Macaca fascicularis: one gene and its partners. The protein of the gene in region 2 purifies or fractionates together with the protein of the main gene of each other region. This does not show direct contact. Links are inferred from orthologs where the notes say so. Each region holds a gene or a part of one and is shown on either strand. Other genes may lie near its edges.

Evidence for each region.
Region 1: the proteins of KIF5B (region 2) and KLC4 purify together in Homo sapiens (affinity purification with mass spectrometry; 4 studies listed by BioGRID and IntAct, with this or other methods). This does not show direct contact. The link is inferred for Macaca fascicularis from reciprocal best matches to the Homo sapiens genes KIF5B and KLC4.
Region 3: the proteins of KIF5B (region 2) and KLC1 purify together in Homo sapiens (co-immunoprecipitation; 11 studies listed by BioGRID and IntAct, counting the BioPlex papers as one, with this or other methods). This does not show direct contact. The link is inferred for Macaca fascicularis from reciprocal best matches to the Homo sapiens genes KIF5B and KLC1.
Region 4: the proteins of KIF5B (region 2) and KLC3 purify together in Homo sapiens (affinity purification with mass spectrometry; 3 studies listed by BioGRID and IntAct, with this or other methods). This does not show direct contact. The link is inferred for Macaca fascicularis from reciprocal best matches to the Homo sapiens genes KIF5B and KLC3.
Region 5: the proteins of KIF5B (region 2) and KLC2 fractionate together in Homo sapiens (co-fractionation; 7 studies listed by BioGRID and IntAct, with this or other methods). This does not show direct contact. The link is inferred for Macaca fascicularis from reciprocal best matches to the Homo sapiens genes KIF5B and KLC2.

Annotation. Positions count from the first base shown.
Region 1 is NC_088378.1:128,466,183-128,471,909, reverse strand, and holds part of KLC4 (kinesin light chain 4), read left to right. Parts: coding exon 1-78; intron 79-1,358; coding exon 1,359-1,589; intron 1,590-4,071; coding exon 4,072-4,153; intron 4,154-5,379; coding exon 5,380-5,599; intron 5,600-5,727.
Region 2 is NC_088383.1:32,779,662-32,785,937, reverse strand, and holds the start of KIF5B (kinesin-1 heavy chain), read left to right. Parts: upstream 1-2,228; 5' UTR 2,229-2,680; coding exon 2,681-2,806; intron 2,807-6,276. UniProt on the Homo sapiens protein: Microtubule-dependent motor required for normal distribution of mitochondria and lysosomes. Can induce formation of neurite-like membrane protrusions in non-neuronal cells in a ZFYVE27-dependent manner.
Region 3 is NC_088381.1:171,853,829-171,859,555, forward strand, and holds part of KLC1 (kinesin light chain 1), read left to right. Parts: intron 1-1,213; coding exon 1,214-1,263; intron 1,264-1,346; coding exon 1,347-1,414; intron 1,415-3,060; coding exon 3,061-3,169; intron 3,170-5,085; coding exon 5,086-5,247; intron 5,248-5,727. UniProt on the Homo sapiens protein: Kinesin is a microtubule-associated force-producing protein that may play a role in organelle transport. The light chain may function in coupling of cargo to the heavy chain or in the modulation of its ATPase activity.
Region 4 is NC_088393.1:53,398,989-53,404,715, forward strand, and holds the end of KLC3 (kinesin light chain 3), read left to right. Parts: intron 1-464; coding exon 465-695; intron 696-986; coding exon 987-1,056; intron 1,057-1,480; coding exon 1,481-1,700; intron 1,701-2,184; coding exon 2,185-2,272; intron 2,273-2,347; coding exon 2,348-2,449; exon of another isoform or gene 2,450-2,746; intron 2,747-2,939; coding exon 2,940-3,113; intron 3,114-3,868; coding exon 3,869-3,959; intron 3,960-4,036; coding exon 4,037-4,074; intron 4,075-4,162; coding exon 4,163-4,269; intron 4,270-4,467; coding exon 4,468-4,531; intron 4,532-4,661; exon of another isoform or gene 4,662-4,773; coding exon 4,774-4,845; 3' UTR 4,846-4,957; downstream 4,958-5,727. Other genes in the region: ERCC2 (general transcription and DNA repair factor IIH helicase subunit XPD), read right to left, coding at 5,084-5,176, 5,664-5,727. UniProt on the Homo sapiens protein: Kinesin is a microtubule-associated force-producing protein that may play a role in organelle transport. Plays a role during spermiogenesis in the development of the sperm tail midpiece and in the normal function of spermatozoa.
Region 5 is NC_088388.1:8,131,908-8,138,191, reverse strand, and holds the start of KLC2 (kinesin light chain 2), read left to right. Parts: upstream 1-2,703; 5' UTR 2,704-2,757; intron 2,758-2,784; exon of another isoform or gene 2,785-2,960; intron 2,961-3,326; exon of another isoform or gene 3,327-3,472; intron 3,473-3,563; 5' UTR 3,564-3,611; coding exon 3,612-3,839; intron 3,840-4,106; exon of another isoform or gene 4,107-4,228; intron 4,229-6,284. UniProt on the Homo sapiens protein: Kinesin is a microtubule-associated force-producing protein that plays a role in organelle transport. The light chain functions in coupling of cargo to the heavy chain or in the modulation of its ATPase activity.

The DNA of each region.
Region 1 (5,727 bases), on a different chromosome or scaffold from region 2:
GAAGGGCTGGTGCATGAGAAGGCCCGGCAGCTTCGCCGTTCTATGGAAAACATTGAGCTCGGGCTGAGTGAGGCCCAGGTGAGAGGGCAAAGGTGGTGCCAAGTGGTCCAGGGTGGATGGAGGAGCAGGTACCTGATTGAAGGTTTGGGGTTGCTTGGGATCACCTCACTCTAGACGTTTGCATCCATTCATTAAATATGTATTAAGTCACTACTATGTGCCAGAATGCTTTTGGTCACTGAAGAAATACATCATTGAACAAAATTGTAAAAATCTTTGCCATCTTGGAGCTTACCTTCTAGCTGGGGAAGACAGACAATACCTAAATAAATAATGATTTGGTATGCCAGAATGATAATTGCTAAGGATAAAAGGACCAAAATAAAGCAGGGAAGGAGACTAGGGACTGTGGAGAGAGGGTATAATTTTAGATAGGGTGGTCAAAAAAGGTCACCCTTTTTTGAAAAGGTGACATTTTGGCAAAGATGTGAAGGTGAGGGGAATGAGTCATGCCTATTAAACAGGGGAAGGGCGTCCTAATCAGAGAGAGCAGCAAGTGCAGAGACTCTGAACGGAAGTCTGCCTGGTGAGGTCAGTGAACAGCAAGGGGCCAGTATGGCTGCAGTAGAGTGAATGAGGGGAGGGAGATGGATCAAGTGGAACTTGTAGGCCATCCCGAGGACTTTTATTTTACTTTTTTTTTTGAGATGGAGTCTTGCACTGTTGCCCAGGCTGGAATGTAGTGGCACCATCCTGGCTCACTGCAACCTCTGTCTGCCAGGTTCAAGCGATTCTCCTGCCTCAGCCTCCTGAGTAGCTGGGACTACAGGCGCGCACCACCACACCCGGCTAATTTTTGTATTTTTAGTAGAGATGGTGTTTCACCATGTTGGCCAGGCTGGTTTTGAACTCCTGACCTCATGATCTACCCGCCTTGGCCTCCCAAAATGCTGGGATTACAGGCGTGAGCCACTGTGCCTGACCCTGATTTTACTTTGAGTGAGATGGAAACTATTGGAATGTTTTTAGAAGAGGAGTGATGTGGTCTAACTTGGCATCATCTGGTTGCTGGGTTACGAATAGACAGTAGGAGAACAAGGGCAGCAACAAGGAGGCCAGTGAGGAAGTTATTGTAGTAATTTGGGTAGGAATTGATAGTGGCTTTGCCCAGGGTGACGGCAGTGGAGGTGGTGGGAAATTGGATTCAGGATGTTTTGAAGGTAGTGCCACTGCTACACCCCCACCTTCTGGCTCCTTTGTGCACCTGCCAGTCTTGCTACGTCCCAGTAGGCTCCCCTTCCACCTGTTCCTGAATACTCCCACCCAGAATCTGGAGCTCAGGGGATATGCCCATCTAGGTGATGCTGGCTCTAGCCAGCCACCTGAGCACAGTGGAGTCGGAGAAACAGAAGCTGCGGGCTCAGGTGCGGCGGCTATGCCAGGAGAACCAGTGGCTGCGGGACGAGCTGGCTGGCACCCAGCAGCGGCTACAGCGCAGTGAACAGGCTGTGGCTCAGCTGGAGGAGGAAAAGAAGCACCTGGAGTTCCTGGGGCAGCTGCGACAGTATGATGAGGATGGACACACCACGGTGAGTGTTCACAGGCGAGACTGGCTAAGGGGTGGGCAGCCAGGAGTTACCACAGACATGGGGGAAATTGCCTCATCATCCTCAGGGTCCATTAGCTCTACCCAAACTGCTCTTACCTGAAAGAATTCCTTTTTCAGCCCTGACACCAGCTCCTGGTGACAGCAAGGGGAAAAACTATATTCAGCTAATTCAGTCAACATGTAATGAGATGCCTCCTATGTACCAGGCGTTGTGCACTGCACTGGTGAGTGGGGCACACACAGTTCCTGCTCTCACAATTACAAGCTTGACAAATAGACAGACAAACACCTGGACAATTCCAATCCAGAATCCTGCGTGCTACAATTAGGGAAAGCATAGCCCAGTTGAGCATGACCCTCCTAAAATTTGCTTTCAAAATGTGTGAATTTTTTTTTTTTTTGAGACGGAGTTTCATACTTGTTGCCTAGGCTGGAGTGCAATGGTGCAATCTTGGGTCATGGCAGCCGCTGCCTCTCAGGTGCAAGCAATTCTCCTGCTTCAGCCTCCCAAGCAGCTGGAATTGCAGGCGCCTGCCACCACACCTGGCTAATTTTTGTAGTTTTACTAGAGATGGGGTTTCACCATGTTGGCCAGGCTGGTTTTGAACTCCTGACCTCTGGTTATCTGCCCGCCTGGGCCTCCCAAAGTGCTGGGATTACAGGTGTGAACTACCATGCCTGACCCAAAATGTGTGATATTTAACCCTCATTCAACAGAGTGCAGTGATGCCATCTCAGCTCACTGCAACCTCCGCCTCTGGCGTTCAAGCAATTCTCGTGCCTTAGCCAGCCAAGCAGCTAGGATTACAGGCATCTGCCACCACACCCAGCTAATTTTTGTATTTTTAGTAGAGACGGAGAGTTTTGCCATGTTGGCCAGGCTGGTCTCATTCTCCTAGCCTCAAGTGATCTGCCTGCCTCAGCCTCCCAAAATGCTGGGATTACAGGTGTGAGTCACCGTGCCTGGCTGAGAGTGTGTTTTCTTCAGATGTATCTGTAGGGAACAAGTCTTATCCATGAGAACACATATGTGACAAAATACAAAGCAGCAAGTGCTCAGTGCTGGATGAGTGGTTCAGTCAGTGTGGGAAGAATTTCACGGAGATATGTCTCTGAGAGCTGGAATGGTCTAAGAAGAATTCATGGAGGAAGCAGGGAGCCTGGGCAACATAGTGAGACCCCGTCTCCACAAAAATTTAAAAAATTAGCCTGATGTGGTTGTGTGCACCTGTAGTGTCAGCTATTCGGGAGGCTGAGGTGGGAGGATTGCTTGAGCCCAGGAGGTAGAAGCTGCAGTGAGCTGTGATTGTACCACTGCATTCTAGCCTGGGCTGTTGCCAGACCAGAGACTCTGTCTCAAAAAACTAACAAAAAAATTGAGGAAGCAGGGTACAGGGATGGGTAGGATATAGGTTGGATTTCCCATTTCAGTGGGTTAGGATCCATCCCATTCGAGATGGATTTTGAAATTTCATGATGAGGAAGAGGAAGGAGCTTTTTAGACTGGAGTGTAGGGTGTCATGGATAAGGCTTACAGCCTGGAAAAGCTGGTCTCTCTCAGGGAAAGTGAGTAGATGGATTGCACAGGACACATTGGTGAAGCTGGGTAGGAAGGTTGGTGTTTGGATGAGGCTGCAGTTCCTGATGGGGAACAGCAGATTTTCCTGGTGCAGAATAGGTTAGACGGTGAGGGAGGGTTGTGCAGTAAGTCCAGAATGAGCTGTGCAGATGATGGGCACCAGGCTGAGCTAGACACTTTTTGGGTACATGTCAATAAGATCGGACATACTCCCTTCCCTCAGGAGAGACAGGACAGACATATAATCAACATAAACACACAGAGATCAGCATAGGGCCATAATTACAAGAGTTAAGGAGAGATTGAGGGTGGTTAGAAAGGAAACTTTTTTTAATCTTTTTTTTTCTTTTTTTTTTTTTGTTTTGAGACGGAGTTTCGCTCTTGTTGCCCAGGCTGGAGTGCAATGGCGCGATCTCAGCTCACCGCAAACTCTGCCTCCCAGGTGCAAGCGATTCTCCTGCCTCAGCCTCACGAGTAGCTAGGATTACAGACATGCGCTACCACGCCTGGCTAATTTTGTATTTTTAGTAGAGATGGGGTTTCTCCATGTTGGTCAGGATGGTCTTGAACTCCTGACCTCAGGTGATCCGCCCACCTCGGCCTCCCAAAGTGTTGGAATTACAGACGTTAGCCACCACACCCGGCCAGGAAGGAAACTTTCTGTATGAGAAGGAGGGGGAAGTTTTGTCCAAAGCATCTCTGGCTGTTACAAACCAGAGGCCTGGGCTTGGTTGGGCCAGTTGCTAGCCTTTCCGGGGCAGAGACAGGAACAACAGTCTTCTCCTATGCCCCATCTGTCTGTGATTTCATGGCTTAGAGGGGTCACTGAGGAGGCTACTAGGTAGGGATATCTTGGCCCTTAATGTTGCTTCTTCCCTTCTAGGAGGAGAAAGAAGGCGATGCCACCAAGGATTCCCTGGATGACCTCTTCCCTAATGAGGAGGAAGAGGACCCCAGCAATGGCTGTGAGTCTGCCTCGGGAATGGGATGGTGAAAAGGGGCAGCAGGAGGCTGGCCCTAGCTGTGGCCCACCCTGTACACAGGACACTCACCATCTGGAAATAGGTTATCCACTTTTTCTGGAGACAGGGCAGGGGCTGGGCTAGTACTTCGATTTCCTCAGCCTCTCCACTGAACAAACATGTATTTTTTTTGTTTTGTTTTGTTTTTTTGAGACGGAGTCTCGCTCTGTCGCCCAGGCTGGAGTGCAGTGGCGCGATCTCGGCTCACTGCAAGCTCCGCCTCCTGGGTTCCCGCCATTCTCCTGCCTCAGCCTCCTGAGTAGCTGGGACTACAGGCGCCCGCCACCGCGCCCGGCTAATTTTTTGTATTTTTAGTAGAGACGGGGTTTCACCGTGGTCTCGATCTCCTGACCTTGTGATCCGCCCGCCTCGGCCTCCCAAAGTGCTGGGATTACAGGCGTGAGCCACCGCGCCCGGCCACAAACATGTATTAAACACTGAGTATGTGCCAGGTACTGTGCTAGGCACTAGGAGTACTGAGATGGAAATGGCATAGGTCTCACCAGTAAGGAGTTCACAGTCTAGTGGGAGAATAAACCTGAGATGGGGAGACCATGAGCCCCTCAAGGGAAAGAACCAGGTTTTTTTTTTTTTTTTTTTTTTTTTTTTTGAGACAGTCTCAATCTGTCTCGCAGGCTAGAGTGCAGTGGGCCAATCTCGGCTCACTACAACCTCCACCTCCTGGATTCAAGTGATTCTCCTGCCTCAGCCTCCCGAGTAGCTGAAACTACAGGTGTCCACCACCACACCCGGCTAATTTTTGTATTTTTAGTAGAGACAGGGTTTCACCATATTGGCCAGGCTGGTCTCGAACTCCTGACCTCATGATCCACCTGCCTCGGCCTCCCAAAGTGCTGGGATTACAGGCGTGAGCCACTGCACCTGGCCAGAACCAGGTCTTTCTTACCTTTGTACTCCTGGGACATCCCTTGGTTCATATTTATTAAATAAATGTTTGTTGAATGAATGAATTACTGGGTGAATAACTGAGGTTGTGATGGGCACAGGTCAAGGGAGTGAATAAAAGAATAGTGCTTGAGGCAGGTCTAATATTGAGAGCCCATGTTGGGGCAGGCATAGGTATGGAACAAGACGTGCAATGGGGAACGGAAGGGCAGACAGCAAAGGAGAGAGGAAGAGTCCTTTGTTTATTTTCTGTGATGGTTTAGTGTCCCGTGGTCAAGGTACTGCAGCAGCTCAGCAGGGTGGATATGAGATCCCAGCAAGGTTGCGGACGTTGCACAACCTGGTGATCCAGTACGCAGCCCAAGGTCGCTATGAGGTGGCTGTGCCACTCTGTAAGCAGGCACTGGAGGACCTGGAGCGCACATCAGGCCGTGGCCACCCTGATGTTGCCACCATGCTCAACATCCTTGCTTTGGTGTATCGGTGAGGACTTCCCTCCTCCAGTGCCCAGATCTTCCCCTACATTCCCACCTTGGTCCTCCTTTGGCTTTCATTTTTCCTCTTTACAGGGTACCTGTCCTGCCTGTTGGGCCTCCCAGATACACCCCACT
Region 2 (6,276 bases):
AAGAGTATTTCTCTTAAGGACATATTACATTTATAAAGTGTCACACAAACTCCTTCTTTGAGTTACCTAATTTTTTTTTTTTTTTTTTTGAGACAGGGTCTTGCTGTGTTACCCAGACTGGAGTGTAGTGGCATGACCATAGCTCAGTGTAGCCTTGGCTCCTAGGCTCAAGCGATCCTCCTGCCTCAGCCTCTGTAGTAGCTAGGACTGCAGGCACTCACCACCATGCCCGGCTAATTTTATTATTTTGTAGAGACAAGGTCTCTCTATGTTGCCCAGGTTGGTTTTAAACTCCTGGCTTCAAGCAATCCCCCTGCCTCAGCCTCCCAAAGTTCTGGGATTACAAGCACGAGCCATCATGCCTGGCCTACGGATTTCTTACTGAGAAAACCGATTCTACAAAGATCATAGACTATTAGAAACTGTTGCTTGAAATTATATCAGTAAGAATAAAACATTCCACTCTTACTTGGAGGACCTAAGACACAGAGAAGCAGCCTTGACTTCCAAGCCAGGTGAAGAGCTTTGGAAAAAGGGGTTTCTGAAGACAACCCTTCCCATCCATCTTAACTTTAGTATTCAAAGAAACAGAACCTGGGGTCCACTGTAGTCCAGACCTGATTTTTGTTTGTTTGTTTTTTTGAGATGTAGTTTCGCTCTCCTTGCCCAGGCTGGAGTGCAACCTCAGCCTCCCGGGTTCAAGTGATTCTCCTGCCTCAGCCTCCCGAATAGCTGGGATTACAGGCATGCACCATCATGCCCAGCTGCTTTTGTATTTTTAGTAGAGACAGGGTTTCTCCATGTTGGTCAGGCTGCTCTCAAACTCCCGACCTCAGGTAACCCGCCTGCCTCAGCCTCCCAAAGTGCTGGGATTACAGGCGTGAGCCACCACCCCTGGCCAGATCTGATGTTAATGCCTTTACTTGCAGCTCTGCCTTGCTTGGGGCCTCTCAAAACACTGCTTCATTGAAATGTTATCAGAACTCCACACCTCCCAGAAAGCCCCGGGTTAATTCCATCTATTCTTTTGTTTGGTGAGATGCTCTAAGGTTCCTTGAGCTTGAGCTCTTCTTCAAGGCAGTGGATTAATAAACCTGAATCTGTTGAACTCTGAATTGGTTTCTGGAGGTATTAGGATGATTGGGTGAGCACAGGGAGCCCTGGAGGTTTTCATAGTTCAATCCTTCGTTTTACAAACAGAAATTGGGGACCGGGGGAGGAGGTGTTACTGCAGTTCTTCCGCAGCACCTCAGAGCCACTTCCTCAGATCCACTTCCCCGTGGAATTTTTTGGTACTCATCTTCTAAAACTAGAAGGCAAAATCAGCTATGGAGTGGTTTTCCTTGGATATGTAATGCACAAATTTACCTAGGCCTTTTATAAAGACCATCTTTATGCTCCAGGTCAGTCATTCCTCCAGTATTGGGATTGATGAGTTCCGTATGTTCATTGCCGGCGAAGTGGCGGGAATTCGCTGAACTGCGTGGGGGCGGCGAGGGTGCGGGCTGGATACAAGGCACTGGGCAGATGAAGTGACAGAGATGCTGTGTGAGGGGGGCTGAGGGCGCTTCCCCCTCCTCACCCTGCTGTTCCACATTTCTTCAGCAACCTTCTTCATTCCTCAGGAAAATTTTCCTTTTTCTTTCTTATTCCTGTCTCCCTACATCCCACTCTCAGGAAAGAGTTACCCTTCATTGAAATCTTACTTTTTCTGGCAATGCGCTCTAAAAAGGTAGACCAGGAATGATTCCCGCCGCCAGAAAAAAATGAAAGCAACACTTCCTTTTAGGAATATAGTACTTTATGTTTTTAATTTTAAAGCTGGTCAAGTGACACAGCGGGAGTGGAGAAGAAACAAATCTCTGGCTGTCATCAACTAGTTGCAAACACCACCGCACCCGGACCAGCCTAGTGATTTATTTAAACAAACCACATTAAGTAGTTAAAGCAAACCCTTTCTCCCCCAAAGAAAAGAAAGCTAAGTACGTCTGCCTTAGCTCTGGGGGATTCTTCGGCGGCTGGGGATGGCGACTGGGAGCTGCCGCCCTGCGTCCCCAGGCACTTCTGCGAGACGGTCAGTGCTGTAAAATTTGAATCTGCGACTCCTGGCCAGGAGTGGTGGCGGAACCGGCGGCGCGGCAGCAGCGACCGGCTGCGAGCTCGGGCACGGATTGGTCGCCGTGCCTCCCGGCCCACCGCGCCGGCGCACTCCTCCACCCGCGCCGCCCAGTCGCCCAACGGCGGCCTCAAGAGTGATAGGGCAGCAGCCGGCCAGCCGGCCAGCGGACAGCGGAGCGGAGCGGGCGGACGGGTAGGCCCGATCTGCTCTTTGCGAGGAGGAAGAAGGTGGCCACTCTCCCGGCCCCCAGAACCTCCCCAGCCTCCGCAGCACGCCCAGGCCGTCGAGGGCGTCGCTGAGGAGCCGCCGACGCTCTCCCCGGTGCCGCCGCCGCCATGGCTGCCATGATGGATCGGAAGTGAGCCTTAGGGTAACGGCTGCCGGCGCCGGCTCTTCGAGTCCCGGCTCCCCGGCCGCCTCCGCCCGGGGAAGCGCTGCGCTGCGCAGCTGACTGCTGCCTCTCACGGCCCTAGCGACCCCAGGCCCTTAGCCCCGTCGCGCTCCCCGCAAGACTAAGCAGCCGGGAGTGGCTCCCGGCCGCCGGCCCCGGCTGCGAGAAAGATGGCGGACCTGGCCGAGTGCAACATCAAAGTGATGTGTCGCTTCAGACCTCTCAACGAGTCTGAGGTGAACCGCGGCGACAAGTACGTCGCCAAGTTTCAGGGAGAAGACACGGTCGTGATCGCGGTGAGTGACCCCCTCCGGCACCCCTCCTTCCGCTTCTTCGGGCCGGGCTGTGCAGAGAGTTTAGGGAAGTGGCAGGGTGCAGAATTGAAAGGGAGCAGCGGTGTCCCCAGCAATCCCCGGCGGGGTTTGCCGGTTCAGATAACCCAGTGGAGGAAGACTGCGCAGCTTCGCGTGCGTTCCGGGATCGCCCCCACCCCGGTCTTTGGCGCCGGGAGACGGGAGGCGCCCAGCCTCAGCCCTGGACACTCCCCCACCTGCGGCAACGGAGGAACGTCCGGGGAGCAATTTCAGTGCACGTTTGTCTGCGTTTCTGTGTGTGCAATTACGGATATTGGTGTTTTGGATTAACCCCAAATTTGCCATTCAGAAAATATGTAATGCTTATATAAAGTTCAGCTGGGGACATTGAGCTGTGAGACAAGCCGTATTATGCTTTAGTAAAGATACTTAGTTTTATAGAAACATAACCAGTCCTTGAACCGTGTTGTTTCCCCCTGGGAGAAGGAAAAAGCACCAAACAGCTACAAATATTATGTACACCTCAAACTTTCACCCACCACTTTTTGAGTGGTGAATGACTTTTCATGTTAACAATTACAAATGGTAAATGGATGATTGTAGAAAGAAATAGTTGAGCTTTTTTTTTTTTTTTTAATAAATCGGAATGATCAATTTTGTTTAATCTAGCAGACCTAGCCGACTTTGGTTGAGTCAGATAAGTGCTCCGAAAGACAAATCGCACTCTTGCTAGGTTTTATGGGATAACAGCCTAGGAAAAAGTATCAGCTTTTTGTTTTTATATCAAAGTATTATAAAAACAAGCTTATAAAAAAGATAAAAATTGACCAGTATTAGATTCATACTTCTGCAATTAAGGTCTATCTTGAAGAAAATTGATCTTTGGTAATCCCAAGAATAGTGAGATACTGTTTTTTTGTAATGTAAAACATAACTAGAGTTGAGTGATCATTTGAGACCAAAATGTGAGGGTGTTTTAAGGTCTGATCTCTGGCATTGAAAGGTCTGAGAAAATAGCACTCCTAGTTGAAGGAGATTAAAAATTAATTGTAAAGTATGGCATACGAAACAGTGAACTGTGACTAAATTATGTTCATCTTTCTTGGCAATGCTATGTAGTAGAACTAACTTTCTACATTGTTACCGTAGTATGAAATTTTAATATGTTAATTTTTCCTCTAATGTCATTCTGTAGTTAATAATTGTATGGGGCTATTTAATTTGGAAATAGGGCAGAGGTCACAGGAGATGGGACAAGGATGATTGAAAGCATTGACACTGAAGACAGACTAAAGTTCTTTAGGGTTTTGATGTGAAAGTTTCTCCAAAGTTCAGCTCCGAAAAATGAATGTCTTAGCTCCTTGGTAGGCCTTTGGCAAACAAGTCATTAGGCCACTAACAACTGCCAACTATTACTGTGTAAAGATTGTCAGGCCAGTTCTTTGTTAACAAGTGCACAAGAAAACCTCTTGTGTAAATGACATCATAGGTTGGCAGAGGCGGAGTAGGAGTAGTTAAGCGCAGTAATCCTTTTCCTTTAGGATGGTATATTTTACATATAGTCTGGAGGCTTGCAAGGCCTAGATTAGTTGTCACACTTGAGGCCATTAGTTTCTTAAGAGTTTTTGTAATTTACAGTACTCAGCTTCAGCAGTGGTTGGCACATAACAAACCTATTTTTCCTTTTACACTTGTCTTAAGAATGTCTTATTTCTTCAGATTTTGTGTTTACACAGATCTGTAGTTATCACTATGATTCTTTTTGTTGGAATGCTAAAATTTAGGATTCATAAAATGTATTAAGATTAGAAGGTAACCTTTGATGAGGCCCAGATATGACATAAACTATGAAGAAAGAACTAAAGGAAAATGAATAAAGGAAACATACATTTATTCTAGGTTTCCATTGGGAAAAAGTTGCTTATAAGTTCTGTTTCAAAATTTCAGTACTCTATATAAACGGTAATATTAGGAATAAATGTATAGGTTGTTGGTTTGTGAATCCATAATGAACAGTTAACCTTTAGGTAAACTGATAAGCATTTTAGTTGTTTTTTGGTTGGTTGATTTTTTTTTTGAGATTTTTTTGAGTTGAGTTTTGCTCTTGTTGCCCAGGCTGGAGTGCAGTGGGGTGATGTCAGCACACTGCAACCTCCGCCTCCCAAGTTCAAGCGACTCTACTGCTTCAGCTGCCTGATTAGCTGGGATTACAGGCACGTGCCACCACGCCCAGCTAATTTTTGTATTTTTAGCAGAGATGGGTTTCACCATGTTGGCCAGGGTGGTCTAGAACTCCTGACCTCAGGTGATCCACGTGCCTCGGCCTCCCAAAGTGCTGGGATCACAGGTGTGGGCCACTGTGCCTGGCCTGTTTTTGTTTGTTTGTTTGTTTGTTTTAAGTGTAAGCAAAAATACAACTAAATAACAGCTTTAAAAAATGAAAGGCAACATGTTTTGGTTCATTGTTTTCAGAAATAGTTTCTTGCCTATAGTAACGACATTAATTACTGAAGTCTCATTTTTGTTCAGTTTTTTAAATGAATTATTTCATTTTGTAAATGGTTATAAGAGCAGCCAGGAGGAGCGGAATTAGAAAATCTCTGGGTAAAATCTTCTCGGTTTATTTTTTTCATTTTACTGGTTTCTAATCCTGATTCGTAATGAACAGTTTAGGAGAGAATTGCTGCAATGCAGCATTTAAAACTCAATTCTTTAAAACGTGATTTAAGAACATTTTGTACACAATCTTCTATTTAGATCAAAATTGAAAGAGTAGTTTATGATGTTAGAAGCATAATCAGTGCTCATGGAGAAAGTAATTTTTAAGGATTCTGATTTTTCTTCTAACTTCAGTTTTTAATACTTTGTCTAAACTTTTTTCCTGCTACTCATGTAATCAGTGATTTTAATAGGACACCATGGCAGGCAAATCTTTCAATTTCATAGTGTTTCTCTGTATGCTGTACAGCCTTTAATACAGAATTTATTTTTAATTAAGTGCTTGGTGAAGTGTTATAAATGTAACATTGAATGAAATGAATTATTTTACGAAAGTCTATAAGTGATATAAACTATTTGCTTTAAATTAGAGAACTTGTTACCTGCAAAACAAGGACAAGGGAAACAGTTTATGTCTTTGAAATGAGCTTGCTGAAAACACCAGAAAAAAAAATGATAGAAAAAATTAGGAGCTTGCTAAAAATGCCAGGAAGAAAAATCAATAAAAAATTACACCTGTTTATGAACCATGAAAGTAGAATATGGTTATTTGCATCATTAAGTATCTTTACAAATCATTATTCCTTATATGGTACACTGTGAAGGCTTCCAAAAACAAGTTGTGGTAGTTCAGAGAAATTAGAAGAGAATAAAACTAATTAGTTAATCTTGCCCAGTTCCTTGCCTAAAGGAAAACAAGATTCTCCCTTTTCAAGTGAATGATTTGGTGTTTG
Region 3 (5,727 bases), on a different chromosome or scaffold from region 2:
CGAGAAGATGACTTAAAATGATTATTGATTTGTATGCTTTCTTTCTTTCCTTCCTTTTCTTTCTTTTTTTTTTTTTTTTGAGGCGGAATTTCGCTCTTGTTGCCCAGGCTGGAGTGCAATGGCATGATCCCGGCTGACTGCAACCTCCGCCTCCTGGATTCAAGTGATTTTCCTGCCTCAGCCTCCCGAGTAGCCGGGATTACAGGCGCACATCACCACACCTGGCTAATTTTTGTATTTTTAGTAGAGACAAGTTTCACCATGTTAGGCTGGTCTCGAACTCTTGACCTCAGGTCATCCTCCTGCCTCAGTCCCCCAAAGTGCTGGGATTACAGGTGTGAGCCACTGCGCCCAGCCTTGATTTATATCTTTTCTACTTTTGCTACCAACATCTTACTACTTTTTCTTAGACTATTGTTTAATGCTTTTGTTTAGCGCTCACATTCTGAATACTCCCTTGTGCTACTTGAGCAGCTAACATTTTAGCGGTTACGTTACAGGGTCCTAGCATTTGTTGGGGTGTCTTCACAGTTGATCACCTGTCTCAGAACATTGATTCTGCACCCTGTGTCTTAACCTGTTGCTTGGTGTCCAGCTCTGTCTTCCATAGACTTTTTCCTGCAGTGTGAACTTAATCTGTCCATGCTGTAAGTAGTAGTATCTAACAAGGATCGTATAAAAAAGAAAACAGGCTGGGCGTGGTGGCTCACGCCTGTAATCCTAACACTTAGGGAGGCTGAGGCAGGTGGATCACTTGAAGTCAGGAGTTTGAGACCAGCCTGGCCAACATGGCGAAACCCCATCTCTACTAAAAATACAAAAAAATTAGCTGGGCGTGGTGGCGGGCGCCTATAATCCCAGCTACTTCAGAGGCTGAGGCAGGAGAGTCGCTTGAACCCAGGAGGTGGAGGTTGCAGTGAGGCGAGAGCACACCACTGCACTCCAGCCTGGGCAACAGAGTGAGACTCCATCTTAAAACAAAACAAAACAAAAAAAAGCAGCCACCGAGGCTTAATGACTTCTGTTTTACTTAGCAGGCTCTGTTATCCTTCATTTGTAGTACAAGTTAAGTATCCATTACCCAAAGTGCTCCAACATTTGAAACTTTTCGAGTGCTGACTTGACCCTCAAAGGAAATTCCCCTTAGAGCAGTTCAGATTTTGGAGTTTTGGATTAGCGATGCTCAACCTGTATGCTGTGTTTTCTTCCCTAGATGAAAATAAACCCATCTGGATGCATGCTGAAGAAAGAGAAGAATGCAAAGTAAGAATGTATTATTTTGAGATTTTCTAAATTGTATATCCTGCATTCAGGATATTCATTTGAAATTATTTGTTGTAATTTAGGGAAAGCAAAAGGATGGGACGTCTTTTGGAGAGTATGGCGGCTGGTACAAAGCCTGCAAAGTTGATAGGTATGTCTGGAATCGCGTTTGGCTGGAAAAACTGAAAAGCAGGGGGAAGGTAATTGTGTTCTACAGGGCAGCTTATAAATGACCGATGTATAGTGTTCCTTAAGTGCACAGTCCCATGTTTTTCCCAAATTCCAATGTAAAAAACCCCACTAACTTTGTAAATGAGATCATTTACATGTATAAAACCCACCATCATATTAGGCTGGTGCAAAGGTAATTGCCTTACTTTTACATTTAATGGTAGAAACCATACAGCAAATTCATGACAAGCGTGCCAGCGGGCCTGGGAAGGCCAGCCCCTCACACACAGCACTGGAGACACAGATCCACACACGCTTCTTTTCCTCATGGCCCATGGGGCCTTGTCCTCTGCAGAGGGAAGTGTAGGCCCCTCCATGGCCAGCCCTAGAGCCTTGCCTCTTGGGCCTGAGCCTGTGCTGACTGCCGTCTGTGATGGCTGCCGTACCTGGGTCCAGGTGGCTCACCTGTTTTACTGCCTTTCCGCTCTTTTTTTTTTTTTTTTTTGAGACGGAGTTTCGTTGTTGTCACCCAGGCTGGAGTGCAATGGCGCGATCTTGGCTTACTGCAATCTCCACCTCCCAGGTTCAAGCGATTCTCCTGCCTCAGCCTCCTGAGTAGCTGGGACTACAGGCGCCTGCCACCATGCCCGGCTAATTTTTGTATTTTTAGTAGGGACAGAGTTTCACCATGTTGGCCAGGGTGGTTTTGAACTCCTGACCTCAGGTGATCCACCCACCTTGGCCTCCCAGAGTGCTGGGATTATAGGCGTGAGCCACCGTGTCTTTCCACTCTTAACTTTCCTCATCCTTTGAGACTCAGCCTACCATTCATCTATTTTCAGAAAACTCTCGGAACCCTCTCCAGGGCTCCCATAACACTTACCATAGATTACTTGTTTCAGAGACATAGAAAATAGCTTATTTCTGTACCCAAAATGCCTATTGTAAGAAAGTGAACAGAAATCTCTCGAAGTACTTATCTATGCTAAAATGAATCTAGGTTTATTTATAATTTTTTAAAATAAGTCTGCTCTATCAAGAATGCAGAAACATCAAGCCTAATTATACAGTTTGAAAAATAAAAAAGAACACAGAAACACAGCCGTCCTCTCGGCCATCTGCTTATTGCTTCCCTGGTACATGAAGCATTTATCCTCTGCCCTCACACCCCACTGATAGGGAGGGTCTGCTTTGCTCTCTTCTCCCCTGTACTTGAGGGAGACGGGAGCACGTGAGCAGCACCATGCAGAGCACTGTTTGTCATTATTGCCAGTGCGGACCAAGGTGTCTCCAGGGAAAGCATGCTGATCACCACACAGACCTGGCCCGGAAGTTTCTGTTGACAGAGTGGCCAGTGGTCTGTGAGAGCCGCCTCAGCCTGGATGGGGTATGGTGTTAGCCTGGCCTGAGGGGGCTGTGTACAGGAAGGGCCAGGGTTATAGGAGGCAGAGCTACTTGAGAAGGAAGAACTCTTCATAATTTTACAGTTTCAAAAAAGTACAAGAGAAAGTTAAAATATAGTCAAGCCAAAACATAAATCTGTCAGTCCTTTAGATTATGTGCTGTTGATAGTGGTTGTTCACAGCTTATATGTCACAGTTCTATATGTCATGTGCTTTCTTACAGTCCAACTGTTACAACCACTCTAAAAAACCTTGGGGCACTTTACAGACGTCAAGGCAAATTTGAAGCTGCAGAAACATTAGAAGAAGCTGCCATGAGGTCTCGTAAACAGGTCAGTCATACTTCTGTCCTTAACCGGCCCTTGGGAACTTTGAATTTAATGGTTCTCTTTTACATGACTTTTGTTGAAAACTTGATTTAGAAATAGAAAATGTTGATTATTTTAGTTTGAACAAATAAAGTTATATTGTTTAAAAGAGCGTGAAGCCGGGCACAGTGGTTCACACCTGTAATCCCAGCACTTTGGGAGGCCAACGTGGGCAGATCACCTGAGGTCAGGAGTTCGAGACCAGCCTGGCCAACATGGTGAAACCCTGTCCCTACTAAAAATATAAAAATTAGCCTGGCGTGGTGTGGCACATGCCTGTAATCCTGTAATCCCAGCTACTCGGGAGGCTGAGACAGCAGAATCGCTTGAACCTGGGAGGTGGAGGCTGCAGTGAGCCGAGATCACGCCACTGCACTCCAGCCGCCTGGGTGACAGAATGAGACTCCGTCTCAATTGAAAAAAAAACAAAAAAAAGCAAAAAAAAAACAAAAAAAACACCAAAGGCGTGAGACTGGGCGCAGTGGCTCACACCTGAATCCCAGCACTTTGGGGAGGCCAACGTGGGCAGATCACCGGTGGTCAGGAGTTTGAGACCAGCCTGGCTAGCATGGCAAAACCCCATCTCTACTAAAAATACAGTGCAGTGGCACAAGCCTGTAGTCCCAGCTACTCGAGAGGCTGAGGCAGGAGAGTTGCTTGAACTCAGGAGGCAGACGTTGCAGTGAGCCAAGATCACGCCACTGCACTCCAGCCTGGGCAACAGACCGAGACTCCGTCTCAAAAAGTAAATTAAATTAAAATAAAATAAAATAACATGAATATGACCCCAAAAGCATGAACAGCAAAATAAAAACTAGGTAACTAGATCTGTTGGATTCACCAAAGTTAAAAACTATTGTGCATCTAAGGACATCATCAAGAAAGTGAAAGGGGCTGGGCGTGGTGGTGAGCACCTGTAATTCCTGCACTTTGGCAGGCTGAGGTGGGGGGAATCCCTTGAGCTCAGGAGTTCGAAACCAACCTGGGCAACATAGTGATACTATGTCTCTACAAAAATTTTTTAAAAAAATTAGCCAAGTGTGTTGGCCCATGCCTGTGGTCCCAGCTATTTGGTAGTCTGAGGTGGGAGGATCGCTTGAACCCGGGAGGTGGAGGTTACAGTGAGCTTAGATGATACCACTGCACTCCAGTCTGGGCAACAGAGAGAGACCCTGTCTCAAAGGAAAAAAAGAAAAAGAAAAAGTGAAAGGACACCCATGCAATGGGGGAAGATATTTGCAAATGATGTATCTCATAAGGTTTTGGTATCCAGAAAAAAAGGCAACCCAATTAAAAAATGAGCACAGGACCTGAATAGACATTTTCCTGAAGATGATAGACAGATGGTCAACAATCACATGAAAAGACACTCAACATCTTTAGTCATTATAGAAATAGTAACTGAAGTCACAGCGAGATACTACCTCATCCCCACTAGACTGGCTATAATAAAAAAGAGAACAAATGGAAAATAACAGGTGTTGGTGAGGATGCGGAGAGGCTGGAACTCTCATGTCTTCTTGCTGGTGGGAATGTAAAATGGTGCAGGCACTGGAGAAGTTTGATGGCTTATCTAAAAGTTAAACTTAGAAAACCACATGGCCCAGCTGTTCCAGTCCTAGATACAGACCCAGAATGATTGAACATGGACACACACCCTGTGCAACCCAAGCCCCGTCACTGTTCCCCTAAGGGGTCCTTTGTGTTTCTCTCCAGTTTCCCGCCTCCACCCTCACCCGCTCCAAGGAACCACTGTTCCAGTTTTTTTCCCTCCAGTGATTAAGAACTGGTATTTTGTTTTCTAGCCAAGTATCTCAGAAATACTTAAGAAAATCTGAAGTGCTAATGGGTCCAACCATTTTCCCTTGCCTGGCTCACAGGGTCTTGACAATGTTCACAAACAGAGGGTGGCGGAAGTGCTCAATGACCCTGAGAACATGGAGAAGCGCAGGAGCCGTGAGAGCCTCAACGTGGACGTGGTCAAGTACGAGAGTGGCCCTGACGGAGGGGAGGAAGTGAGTATGAGCGTAGAGTGGAACGGGGTAAGTACAGTACACAGCGGGCACGTGCTCCGGGAGGCGCCCCCAAGTGGCGCTTGCCAGGCCTTCCTCCTGTCTCATGTGCTAGACCTTCTGCTTTTGTCAAATTAAGTGCCAATTAAGCTTTCTGTAAGTTCTTTACTTCTGCTAATACTTAAGTCTGTTATTTGTTTAAAGTGGTAATTTTCTTCTCAGGAATCCATGAAAGCTGTTTGGCTTAACTTTGAGCACTTAAATGCTGATTGAGTGTCCTGGCTATTTAAAGCATGATCCCTCTCTGGTTTCATTTTAATATCAGGATCAGTGTGGCAGGTAACTAACTTGCTTCTTTAACTCACCCATTTCATTGCTAACTCCAGTGCTCCTAACTTCACTGACCAGGCTGCTCTAGATTTTGTTAGAATGAGTTGAAATGCTTTAAAGGGAGATGCTGTGTAAGTAGAATTTGTTTTTAGAAAACGGGTCAGAACCAAGAGCTTAGGT
Region 4 (5,727 bases), on a different chromosome or scaffold from region 2:
CACTTGAAACTGGGAGGTGGAGGTTGCAGTGAGTGGAGATCGTGCCATTCCACTCCAGTCTGGGTGACAGAGACTGTTTCAAAAAACAGCAAAAAAAAGTATGGCAGAAAGGCATATCTGGGGCAGGCGGAAGCCTAGGGGAACGAGGCCTGGGAAGGTGAGGCTCCAGGCCAGAGATGGAGTCCCTTGGCAGTTCTAGGGGGTCCTTGTATGTGACAGGGACCCCTGAACCAGATGGCATTCTTCAGTAAACTGTGGGTCCTAGGGCAACTTCGGGGGTGAAATCAGAGGGGCTGCTTAGAGCCTCTGAGGGCACTGGAGCCACGCTGGTGGAGTCTCTGCAGAATCTGGGGGTGTCGTGCATAGTAGTGGGGTGCAGCGGCCTGATTCAAGGTCTGAGCTGGGTCAGAGGCTGTCTGGCAGGGTAGGAACCAACCTCGACTTGGGACCCACACCCTGGGCAGGTGCTGCTGGCCTTGTCGGCACACGTGGGTGCACTGGAGGCAGAGAAGCAGCGGCTGCGCTCGCAGGCCCGGCGGCTGGCCCAGGAGAACGTGTGGCTGCGGGAGGAACTGGAGGAGACACAGCGGCGGCTTCGTGCCAGCGAGGAGGCCGTGGCCCAGTTGGAGGAGGAAAAGCGCCACCTGGAGTTCCTGGGGCAGCTGCGACAGTACGACCCGCCCACGGAGACCCAGGTGCCACGGGCAGGGCAAGGTGGGGGTGCTGGGCCCTTCACAGAGCCCCACGGTTCCCCAGACCCTCCTTAGAATCCCAGTCCCCCAACCCTCCACAGAGCCCCCAGACCCACCAGAACTTCCGCAGACGCCCCCACTAGCTGCTCCCCGAAGCCCCCGGGCCTCGCCAGTCCCCCAGGGGGCCCCTGACGCTCATGATCACCACCTCCCTCAAACCCCGAGATAGATGCAGGGCTCCAGTCCCTGAAACAAGCCCCCCTCCCCCGGCCCCCCACTATCCTGTCCCTGCAGCAGTCTGAGTCCCCGCCTCGCCGAGACAGCCTGGCCTCCTTGTTCCCCAGCGAGGAGGAGGAGAGGAAAGGTGGGTATCCGGAGTACATGCCACAGATGATGGCGGGCCAGGGTGGGGAGTGGGCTCTGAGCTGCAGAACCCCAAAGTCTCTGAACAGGGATGGAGAGGTGAGGGCAGGGTCAGGAGGACCCTGAATGTGACAGTGAGCAGGTGAGGCTGGGAGCTGCGAAGACAGGGTAGCTGCCATGAGCCCGGCAGGCCCCGTATTCACATCTTGCAGGGCAAGTGAGCTGCCATGTACCTGTCCCGAGGCCAGGATGCATCCCACCAGCTGGTTAGATGCTAGTGACTCCAATCTCAGAAGTTAACATGGGGGCCCATAGTCCCAGGGGCCAGTTAGGCAGTCTGGGGCGTGTGTCTCCTCGTGCGAGGATGGAGGGGCAGGAGGTTTAGGAGGCTTGCAGTGACCTAGAGCCCACCCTGCCCCACCCAGGTCCTGAGGCCGCAGGAGCAGCAGCAGCTCAGCAGGGTGGCTATGAGATCCCTGCCCGCCTTCGGACCCTGCATAACCTCGTGATCCAGTACGCGGGGCAGGGCCGGTATGAGGTGGCGGTGCCCCTGTGCCGCCAGGCCTTGGAGGACCTGGAGCGCAGCTCGGGCCACTGCCACCCTGACGTGGCCACCATGCTCAACATCCTGGCGCTGGTATACCGGTGAGAGCTGCGGCCGGCCATGGCAGGGGGCAGGAACGGCAGGGACCCATTGGGTGCAAGTGGAGGGACCCTGGTGTCCCCTCTGCCACCATGGAGCACCTGGGGAGGTTGGAGGAGGGGACAGCCAGAATGGGAAAGGAAGGGAAGGCTCCTGCTGTAAGAACGGCAAAGAGGGAGTGGGCCAGGGATCTGGCGGGTTGGCGGGGCACTGAGCCAGGCAGAGAGGAGTCAGAGCACAGACACCAGGGACCCCAAGAGTAGGCAAGAGAACTGGGGTGGTTAGAAGCTTGGCAGAGGTCTGGGGATACAGGGCCTGGTGTTAGAGAATTGGAAGGTATGTAAGGGCCCATAAAAGGCCCCCAAAGGGTGCTACCCATGCTTGCTTCAGCCAGGTTCCCTGGACCTGCCAGAATTAGCCCAGACCCTGTGGCTGTAGCTGCCCCAACCCCCGGCCAACCCCCGCCATCCCTGGGCTTCCACACAGGGACCAGAACAAGTACAAAGAAGCCACAGAGCTCCTCCATGATGCCCTGCAGATCCGGGAGCAGACGCTGGGCCCTGAGCACCCTGCGGTGAGTGGGGACCCAGGGAGACGAAGTGGGGCCGTGCCTGCCCATCCCTGACCTGTGTCTCCCCCAACCCCACAGGTGGCCGCCACGCTCAACAACTTGGCCGTCCTCTATGGGAAGCGCGGGCGTTACCGGGAGGCAGAGCCCCTGTGCCAGCGCGCTTTGGAGATCCGAGAGAAGGTCCCATCCCCCTTACCCAACCCCGAGGAACCCCTTGTAGCCCTCTCCATGGATCCTGAGCACTTACATCGTGACCCTGATCCTCGGGCCCCTTGCGTTTGGTACTGGGAGACCCCAATTGGAGCCCAACCCATCACCCTCGACCTTCTGAGATCCCAGTTTGGTCTTGACCCTGACTCTGACCTCTTGCCTTACCTCACACGCCACCCCCCAACTAGGTCCCGCCACAGCCTTTCCAACCCCTCATGGCCACTGGCACAAGCCCAGCCCTGACCTACCCATCTCACCTTGTGCCCCGTGTTTCTGGATCACCTTGGCCTCTGACCTCAGTAATCCCGCTCGACGGTGTCACTTGTGCCCCAGCCCCCAACCTCTCAGGTCACTCTGCTTTGGCCCTGTAATCCCTAACTTGTGACCACCATACAGAAGTGATGTCACGTGTCCCACCAATCCTGTATGACCCCTCTGACTTGTGACCCCTGGCCCCCAGGTCCTAGGTGCTGACCACCCCGATGTGGCCAAGCAGCTCAACAACCTGGCCCTGCTGTGCCAGAACCAGGGCAAGTTTGAGGACGTGGAACGGCACTACGCCCGGGCCCTGAGCATCTATGAGGCCCTGGGCGGGCCCCATGATCCCAACGTGGCCAAGACCAAGAACAATCTGGTGAGGTCCCTGGGGCTGAGTGGGCCCAGAGTGGAGGGTCTGCCCTGGGGAGGCACCCATTGGTTGGGTACAGGGCGAGCACCATGGGGAGGGGTCCCCCTGAGGCAGGGCCCTTGGAGCAAGTGTCCTATCGGACACAGGAGCTGGCTCAGCACAGAACACGGAATCAGGAAATGCGTGAGTCCACGGCACCCAGGACAGTCAGTGAAGGGGAAGCTGGCAGGCACAGATGGCAGCAGCAGACATTTATTGAGCTCACTGTGGCCGGCTCCCCTCTTAGCTCTGTCCCCACATCACTAGTTCTTACAGTGTCCCTATGAGGTAGAAGCTGTCGCTCTACTTTGCATGTGAGAAGAGAGGCCATGCCACCAGCCCAAAGTAGAGCAGACAGGCTCAGAAACAGGAGGTTGCCTGCCCTCCATCCCCCAGGCAGGAGGTAGGGCGGAGCTCCAAACCCCCTCTGCCCCAGGGCAAGGCTTTAGGCAGGGGCGGGATATGGCCAGGTCAGCACAGTAGAAAGTGGGACTGGGGCCAGGTGTGGTGGCTCACGCCTGTAACCCCAGCACTTTGGGAGGCCAAGGCAGGAGGATCAGTTGAGGCCAGGAGTTCACGACCAGCCTGGGCAACATACCAAGACCCTGTCTCTACAAAAAAAAAAAAGAAAAAAAGTGGGACTGGATGCAGTGTTGGGAACTGGGGTCCGAAAAGTTCCCAGACTAGAGCCAAGATCACCCAAGACACTCCCTTCTCCGCAGGCCTCAGCCTACCTGAAACAGAACAAGTACCAACAAGCGGAAGAGCTGTACAAAGAAATCCTCCACAAGGAGGATCTACCTGCCCCTCTCGGTGAGCCCCGAGCCCCTGCCTTCCCTCCTGGTGGCTTCTCTACGTCCCCATCTCGGTGTCCCCCATCTTTCCCCTAGGTGCCCCCAACACAGGCACAGCTGGTGACACAGAACAGGTGAGGATGGGCTGTGCTTCGGCTCCTGGGGAAGGCGTGGGGACTGCATGGGCTCGGGGATATGAGCAGCATCCCTGCCCCTCCCCAGGCCCTTCGCCGCAGCAGCTCCCTCTCTAAGATCCGCGAGTCTATCCGGCGAGGAAGTGAGAAGCTGGTCTCCCGCCTCCGAGGCGAGGGGGCGGCGGGGGCGGCCGGGTGAGTGTGGATCAGGTCGGCAAAGAGCCCTGACATCAGCAGAATTCATAGCCCCCCCCCCACCCCTCCTGCTCAAGAACCTTCCATGGCTCCCATCTCCCCTGTGATACACATAGATCAAATCCTGTGCTGGAAAGCTCCCTCCTGGAGGGGCCACTCCTGGATTCACTCGCTTCTTCCCTGCTGCCCCCTTCGCAGAATGAAGAGAGCCATGTCGCTCAACACACTCAATGTGGATGGCCCAAGGGCTCCTGGGACTCAGGTGAGGGGACACCGGGGTCAAAAATGGAGTGGGGCCACGTGGGTAGGTGCAGAGATAAGGCAAAAGCAGGGCAGTCAGGCCGGCGTCAGAGTCAGCAGGTGGTGGGTGTGTTAAAAGAGACCCAGGACAAGAGCAAAGATGGGTTTTACTTGGGGTAGAGGTGAGATGGGTAGACGGTTGGCTGCCAGGCTGGACGCAGCACCTGTCCCTCCCCTCCAACCATCCCCTGTGCCTGTCTCCAGTTCCCCAGCTGGCACCTGGACAAGGCCCCTCGGACCCTCAGCGCCAGCACCCAGGACCTGAGTCCCCGCTAATATCCAGTGACCTGTGTTGGCCTCAGCTGGTGGGGGACGGCGGGGGGGGTCTATCATCTCTTAGGTGCCCCCTGCCCTCTTCTGCGATTAAAGGCCGTGGATGTGACAGTGAGGAATGTCACCTGAGTTTATAAGACCTTCCAGCACCACCCCCGCTACGGCCTCGGAGCTGCTGGGACCCAGGGCCAGGCAAGACTCAGGAGTCACCAGGAATCATTTATGGCCCTGCCCATCCCGCTCAGAGCTGCTGAGCAATCTGCTCTATCCTCTGCAGCGTCTCCTCTGATTCCAGCTGCTCCAGGCTGAGCAAGGACAGGCCCAGCTGATCCTCCTGCAGAGAACAGAGGAAAGTAAGGGGGGCACTGTCAGGAAGGGGCCCAGGCAGCTGCTGTACTTCCCCGACCACCCGCCCCCGATGGGCATTAGGGGTCTGAGACGTGAGGGCCAGGATGTTTGAATTTGGAGATGTCAGTATAATCCAGAGTGGGCCATTCCTGTCCACATAAGAGGGGGCTGAGGGAGGAGCCAGCCAGGGCGTCGGAGAAGGACGGGCTTTCCCCAGGCCAGCACAGTCTCAATGCCTGATACCTCCTCACCCCAAATTCTCTCACCCTGCCTTGCCTGGGCCACCTGCTGGCATCTGTGGCCCCTCGAATCTCCCCCTACCCCCCAGAGCCTGGCATGCAGATGCACAATAAACTTCTCTCTGTAGAGGGCAGGAGGACAGGCTGGGGTTGGGGAGTGGGGAGAATCCAAGGGGCCTTTCTGGAGGAGGAGCTCAGCCTGGGAGGATGCTGGGAGGGGGATGCAGGCCTCACCCGGTGGAAGGGCTGTGCCATCTGCCGCAGGAAGTACTTGGCCACCTGGACACCCTCATCCACA
Region 5 (6,284 bases), on a different chromosome or scaffold from region 2:
AGTTGCTAGGACTACAGGTACACACCACCATGCCCAGCTAATTTTTGTATTTTTTGTAGAGATGGGGTTTCACCATGTTGCCCAGGCTAGTCTTGAACTTCTGAGCTCAAGCAATCTGCCCACCTCAGCCTGACAAAGTGCTGGGATTACAGGTGTGAGCCACTGAGCCCAGCCCAACCAATGGCAATGTATCTGGGAAATAAGGCCAATGTGATGGCTGAAGGACCACAGGTCCCAAATGCAGAAGACCCCAATCTCAGGGGCTCTGGAGGAAAACTGACCAGCTGAAATGAACAAGGATAAACACAAGCTCAGCACTGATGCAAATAACATAATCAATGGACATAAGACACAACAGAAGGTGTGCTTCTGAAGAGGGGAGCTGGATGGCTGAGGACAGCAGTCACAGGGATAACTACATTTCATTGTAACTTGCTTGTATGCCTTTTTTTTAAGTTGTTTTTTTTTTTTTTTTTTGAGACGAGTCTGTCTCTGTCACCCAGGCTGGAGTGTAGTGGTGCCATCTCAGCTCACTGCGGCCTGCGCCTCCTGGGTTCAAGCGATTCTCCTGCCTCAGCCTCCTCAGTAGCTGGGACTACAGGTGTGCACCACCAGGCACAGGTAATTTTTGTATTTTTGGTAGAGACAGGATTTCACTGTGTTGGTAAAGCTGGTCTCAAACTCCTGACCTCAGATGATCCACCTGCCTCAGCCTCCCAAAGTGCTGGGATTACAGGTGTGAGCCACTGAGCCTGGCCTTTGTATGTCTTTTGAATGTTGCACAAATGAAAGTATTAGCTATCCAGAAAAAATCATGCCAGTCACGGTGTCTCATGCCTGTAATCCCAGCACTTTGGGAGGCCAAGATGGAGGACCACTTGAGACCAGCCTGGGCAACATATCAAGACCCTGTCTCTAAGAAAATAAATTGGGAAAAAAAAAAAAAAAGCCAGGTGTAGTGGCATGCACTTGTAGTCCTAGCTTCTTGGGGGGCTATGATGGGAAGATTTCGTGAGCCCAGGAGTTTGAGGTTACAGGCTAGGCCAAGGCCAAGGTGGGTGGATTACCGGAGGTCAGGAGTTTGAGACCAGCCTGGCCAACATGGTGAAACCCCGTATCCAAAAATACAAAAAATCAGCGAGGTGTGGTGGTGTGTGGTATAATCCCAGCTACTGGGGAGGCTGAGGCAGGAGAATCGCTTGAACCCTGGAGGTGGAGGTTGCAGGGAGCCAAGATCGTGCCATTGCACTCCAGCCTGGGAGACAGACTCCATCTCAAAAAGAAAACAAAGAAGTTTGAGGTTACAGTGAGCTATGATCACACCACTGCACGCCAGCTTGGACGATAAAGTAAGAACCTTTTTTTATAAAGTATTTTATAAAGTAAGAATCTTTTTTTTTTTTTTTTTTTTTTTTTTTTTTTTTGAGACGGAGTCTCCCTCTGTCGCCCAGAGTGCGGGGGCGCGATCTCGGCTCACTGCAAGCTCCGCCTCCTGGGTTCAAGCGATTCTCCTGCCTCAGCCTCCCAAGTAGCTGGGACTACAGGCTCCAGCCACCACGTCCAGCTAATTTTTTGTATTTTTTAGTAGAGACGGGGTTTCACCGTGTTAGCCAGGATGGTCTCTATCTCCTGACCTCGTGATCCGCCCGCCTCAGCCTCCCGAAGTGCTGGGGCTACAGGCGTGAGCCACCGCGCCTGGACCAGAACCTCTCTTAAAAAAAATCATTGGCAGAGAACAGGTTTGAGAAGAACCTGGTTGGATGTAACTGAGATGTGTAAAATAGAGGGTCTTCACTTGTGTAAAAGGCAGCCTGGTTTGCGGCTTTTTTTGTGGACAGGTGGCATCCTGGGGGTACCGTCCCTCTGATCTGCGCAGTTCATTCCTCGTCTCTGATCACTGGGCCCTGGGCTGAGCACCACCTTCTGAGCAGGACCGACAAGCTAGACTACACCCAGAAAGGAGAAATTGGGATGGGGAAGGGTCAGGAAACTGCGGTAGGACTGAGCGAAAGGACCAGGAGCAGCCCGGGGAAGAGATGAGACCACGCGGGGCACCATCGCTGTCTCCAAATACCTTAACCGACATAAGGGAGCAGCTTTCTTTCTGAAGACAGAGCTAGGGCTGTGGATGAGCACTGCAGGAAGGCACTTCGAGGTCTATACAAGGAAAATTTTGCTAACCTTTGGAGTTGTCTCAGAGCCGAACGTAGTAAGCTCCCTGTCACCGGATGTGCTTGAGCTAAGGGCGCTGAACCACCTCTGTCAGAGATGGTGCGTCCCCCACCAGATGTGACCCCGGGATGCGAAGCCCGGGGTCAGATCTGCGAGCCAGGTAACAGCGGCATTCACTTCTCGGGTCTTCGTGAGCATTAAGTCAATGAACCCAGGGCACCAAGGCGCGCAACACGCAGTAGGCGCTCAATTAGTGGCAAATGCCTCGCTCTGTACTCCGGGAAGCCCAACCTTCTCCCTGCGCCTCAGTTTCTCCCGCCGTCCTCGATGGCGCCACACTAGGTACCTTAGGGTTCAATCTCCCGAGCAGCTCCACACCCTGAGGACCCGGGCCATTTTGAGGCCGAGGGCACCCCTCGGGGCTGGCGGGCCCCTGGAAACTGCGCCCCGGGCGGGTCCTCGCCCCGCCCCCGCCTCGATGGCCCCGCCCCGTCCCCCTCCCGCTGGAGCCGGCCCGGCCCGCGCTCCTTTAAGGCAGCGAGCTGGCCGTGAGAAGCGTGTTTCGCCCCCTCCGACGCCACCGAGGTAGCGGCTTCACCTTTAAGGCGGCGCGGGGGCTGCTGGGAAGGCCGGCGGGATGGAGGCGGCGGGACCGGCTCGCGGCTGTGGGTCCGGGTGAAGCGGGAGGCAGCCGGAGCCGGAGCCGGGCCCGAGCACCAGGCGCAGGTCGGCGCGGGCCGATTGGGCCGGGAGACGGGATCAGGCCCTAAAGCAGGGGGAGGCTCCAGGTCGGCCTAGGGGAGGGGGTCGTCGTGGGCGCGGCCTGTGGGAGGATCCGACCAGCCCTGGTAGGGGGCGCGGTCCCGGGTGGCCCAGGGCAGGGGCGCGGCCTTTTTAGGGGAGGCCGCAGGACGTTGCGCTGGCCCAGGGGAGGGGTCGTAGTGGGCACAACCTGGAAGGACTGAGGGCCGCGGTCTCAGCCCCTGTAGGGAGATGGCCTCCGCAGGGTCGGCCCGTCGGGAGGATGGGCTCCGCGGCGTGGCCTGCCGGTTGGGGATGGGGCTGTCCGAGGGGCTGGGCCCGGATCGCCGGAGGGACCAGGGTCTCCTGCACAGGAGAGAGCCCCCACGTTCCCCATACCTGCCCTGGTTAGGGGGTCCCCGGGGAAACCCGGACACTGGGCCGCCTAAGTCGGCCTAAGCCGGTGGTCTGGGGCCGAAGCAGGGTCCGGCCGCACCGCATTGCGTCTCCCTGGCCAAGACGAGCCGGGCGCGCCCTCTGTAGGCCAAGCGTGGGCAAGGTACGGGTTGCAGGCTGGGGGACCTGGGCACACGGGACCAGGCGTCCGGGGACCGCCTGTGTTTACCTAATCTGGGGCGGTGTGGCCCCAGGCCCGGCGCCCGCCTGCCCGCACCCTCGTCCTCACAGACGCCACAACCATGGCCATGATGGTGCTTCCGCGGGAGGAGAAGCTGAGCCAGGATGAGATCGTGCTGGGCACCAAGGCCGTCATCCAGGGACTGGAGACTCTGCGTGGGGAGCATCGTGCCCTGCTGGCTCCTCTGGTTGCGCCTGAGGCCAGCGAAGCCGAGCCTGGCTCGCAGGAGCGCTGCATCCTCCTGCGTCGCTCCCTGGAAGCCATTGAGCTTGGGCTGGGGGAGGCCCAGGTAGGTCAGTCTAGGGTACTGAGGTGGGATCGAGCCTTCCAGAGAAATCCAGTAATCTAGGAGAAGAATATGAGCAAGGAATCTTCTGTTTCCTGGAGCCCCGTGTTAGGACCCCAGTAAATACCTTTTGAAGAAATAAATGCACTTTGGCGACCCCAGCCCTGCCCTAAGAGACCATGATCACCCTCGCCCCCACGCAGAGCCCCATTCCCAGCTCCCCTCTACCTAAGGGAGACTGGATGGCATATGAGAACAGAAAGAAAATCCTTAAGGAAACACAGCCTCCCACCGATTTATTCTTCTATTCATTCGTTAACAGATGAGTTTTTCAGTGCCAGCCAGGCCGTTAGGTGGATACAGGACCCAACAAAATAGACAGGATTCCTGCCCTATTTGGAAAAGAGACAAAAGCACACATAAGGAAATAATTGGTTGTTACAAATTGTGATGAGTTCTACAAAGAAAAGAACAAGATTTTATGATAGCTCACAGCAGTGAGTCTTGTCTACTGGTCAGGCAGGATTTCTATGAGGAAATGACAAACTGAAACCTGAGGGAAGAAATGAACCAGTCTCCAGGAAAGGGAGGCAGGGGAGAAGTTGCATGTGCAAAGGTCCTGGGGTAGGAGTTGTGGTGGAGGAACTCGGGGAAGAACTGTGTGACTGGAGCTTCATGGAAGGGAGAGAGGGACAGAAGAGGCCTGGGGAGAAGCCAAGAGCCAGATCATGGCCTCGTTAGTGTGGGTTTTATCCTCAGGAAGTCAGAAAGCCTCTGGAGGGCTTTAAGCAGACAGGCAACACAGTCTGACTTGAATTTCTAAAAACTCTCTCTGGCTGAGATGTGGAGAATAAATCTCAGTGGGTCGAGGATGCAATCACTCTCCAGTGAGTGGTTAGGAAGCCACTGCTGGAATTCAAATCAGAGCTGGTGCTTGGAATTAAGGGGTGGCTATGATGGTGGAGAAAAGGGACCAGTTCTGGATGTTCTGGAGGTAGGTCCAGGAAGACCCAGGGTGGAATAAGGGAGAGAGAGGAAGGCAGCATCACTCCCAGGTTTGTGATTTAAGCACATTAGGGAGGAGAGGGCCTGGGTGGATCAGAACTCTGTTTTGGCCCCCTTTAGTTGAGGCTGCCAGGATGATATGCAATTGGAGATGTCCAGGAGCCATTGGGATGTGCAAGGAGTTAGACTTGTTTTATTCTCCTCAGAGCTTGGCTGAACCCCTGCCTGGCACATGAACCCTGGGGAGGTTGTATCATCTTGGTTTCCTTTTCTTTAAAATAGGGATCATGCCATCTGCTGTGTATACTTCCAGGCTGTTGGAGGAATTTTTTTTTTTAAGCTAGTGGTTATGGAAACACCTGTCACTTAGGCATTTGCTAACCAACTGTAAAGTACAGGGTCTCAGACGGCCTGGCCCTCTGCAAGGACATTCACTCCTCTGCCAGTTGGCCATCACAGGCAGAGAGGACCAGTCAGGGGTCCCACACCTGGTGGAGCACATGCACTCTCACAGAGGGGGAACAGTCTGCATGGAGGGCATGGGCATCAAGGCCATGAGTGAAACTGGAGCAGAGTGGGAGGTGTGACTAGCTGGAGACACCACTGCAGAAATGACCCTGGACCGTGAAGGACCAGGAAAGGGTGGAGGCCAGGTGTGGTGGCTCACGCCTGTAATTCCAGCACTTTGGGAGGCCCAGGTAGGAAGATTGCTTAAATCCAGGAGTTCATGAGACCCCGTATCTATGAAAAAATTTTTTATTTTCATTTATTTATATTTGAGACAGAGTCTCACTGTGTTACCCAGGCTGCAGTATAGTGGTGCAGTGTCCGTTCACTGCAGCTTCCACCTCCCAGGTTCAAGCGATTCTTCTGCCTCAACCTCTTGACTAGCTGGGACTACAGGCACACACCACCACACCCAGCTAATTTTTGTATTTTTAGTAGAGATGGGGTTTCACCATGTTGGCCAGGATGGTCTCAATCTTCTGACCTCATGATCTGCCCACCTCAGCCTCCCGAAGTGCTAGGATTACAGGCGTGAGCCACCGCACCTGGCCAAAATTTTTTTTAAATTAGCCAGGTGTGGTGGTGTGCACCCATAGTCCCAGTTACTCAGGAGGCTGAGGTGGAAGGACCACTTGGGCCTGGAAGGTGGAAGCTGCAGTGAGCTGTGATGGTGCCATAGCCCTTCAGCCCAGGTGACAGAGTGAGACATTGTCTCAAATTAAAAAAAAAAAAAAGAGAGAGAGAGCAAGAAGGGAGGTTGGAACCTAGGCAGGAACGCAGGAAGAGACTGGAAACTCAGGAAAGGAGTTATAGAGGCTGGGGAGAGGGGTGGGGGTTGAGGCCAAGGCCTCTGGATACTTTTCCTGCCCCTGTGGTTCCTCACGCCAGCTGAGCATTTGGGATACATGCCCCTTCCCTACCTGGGAGCTGCAGAAA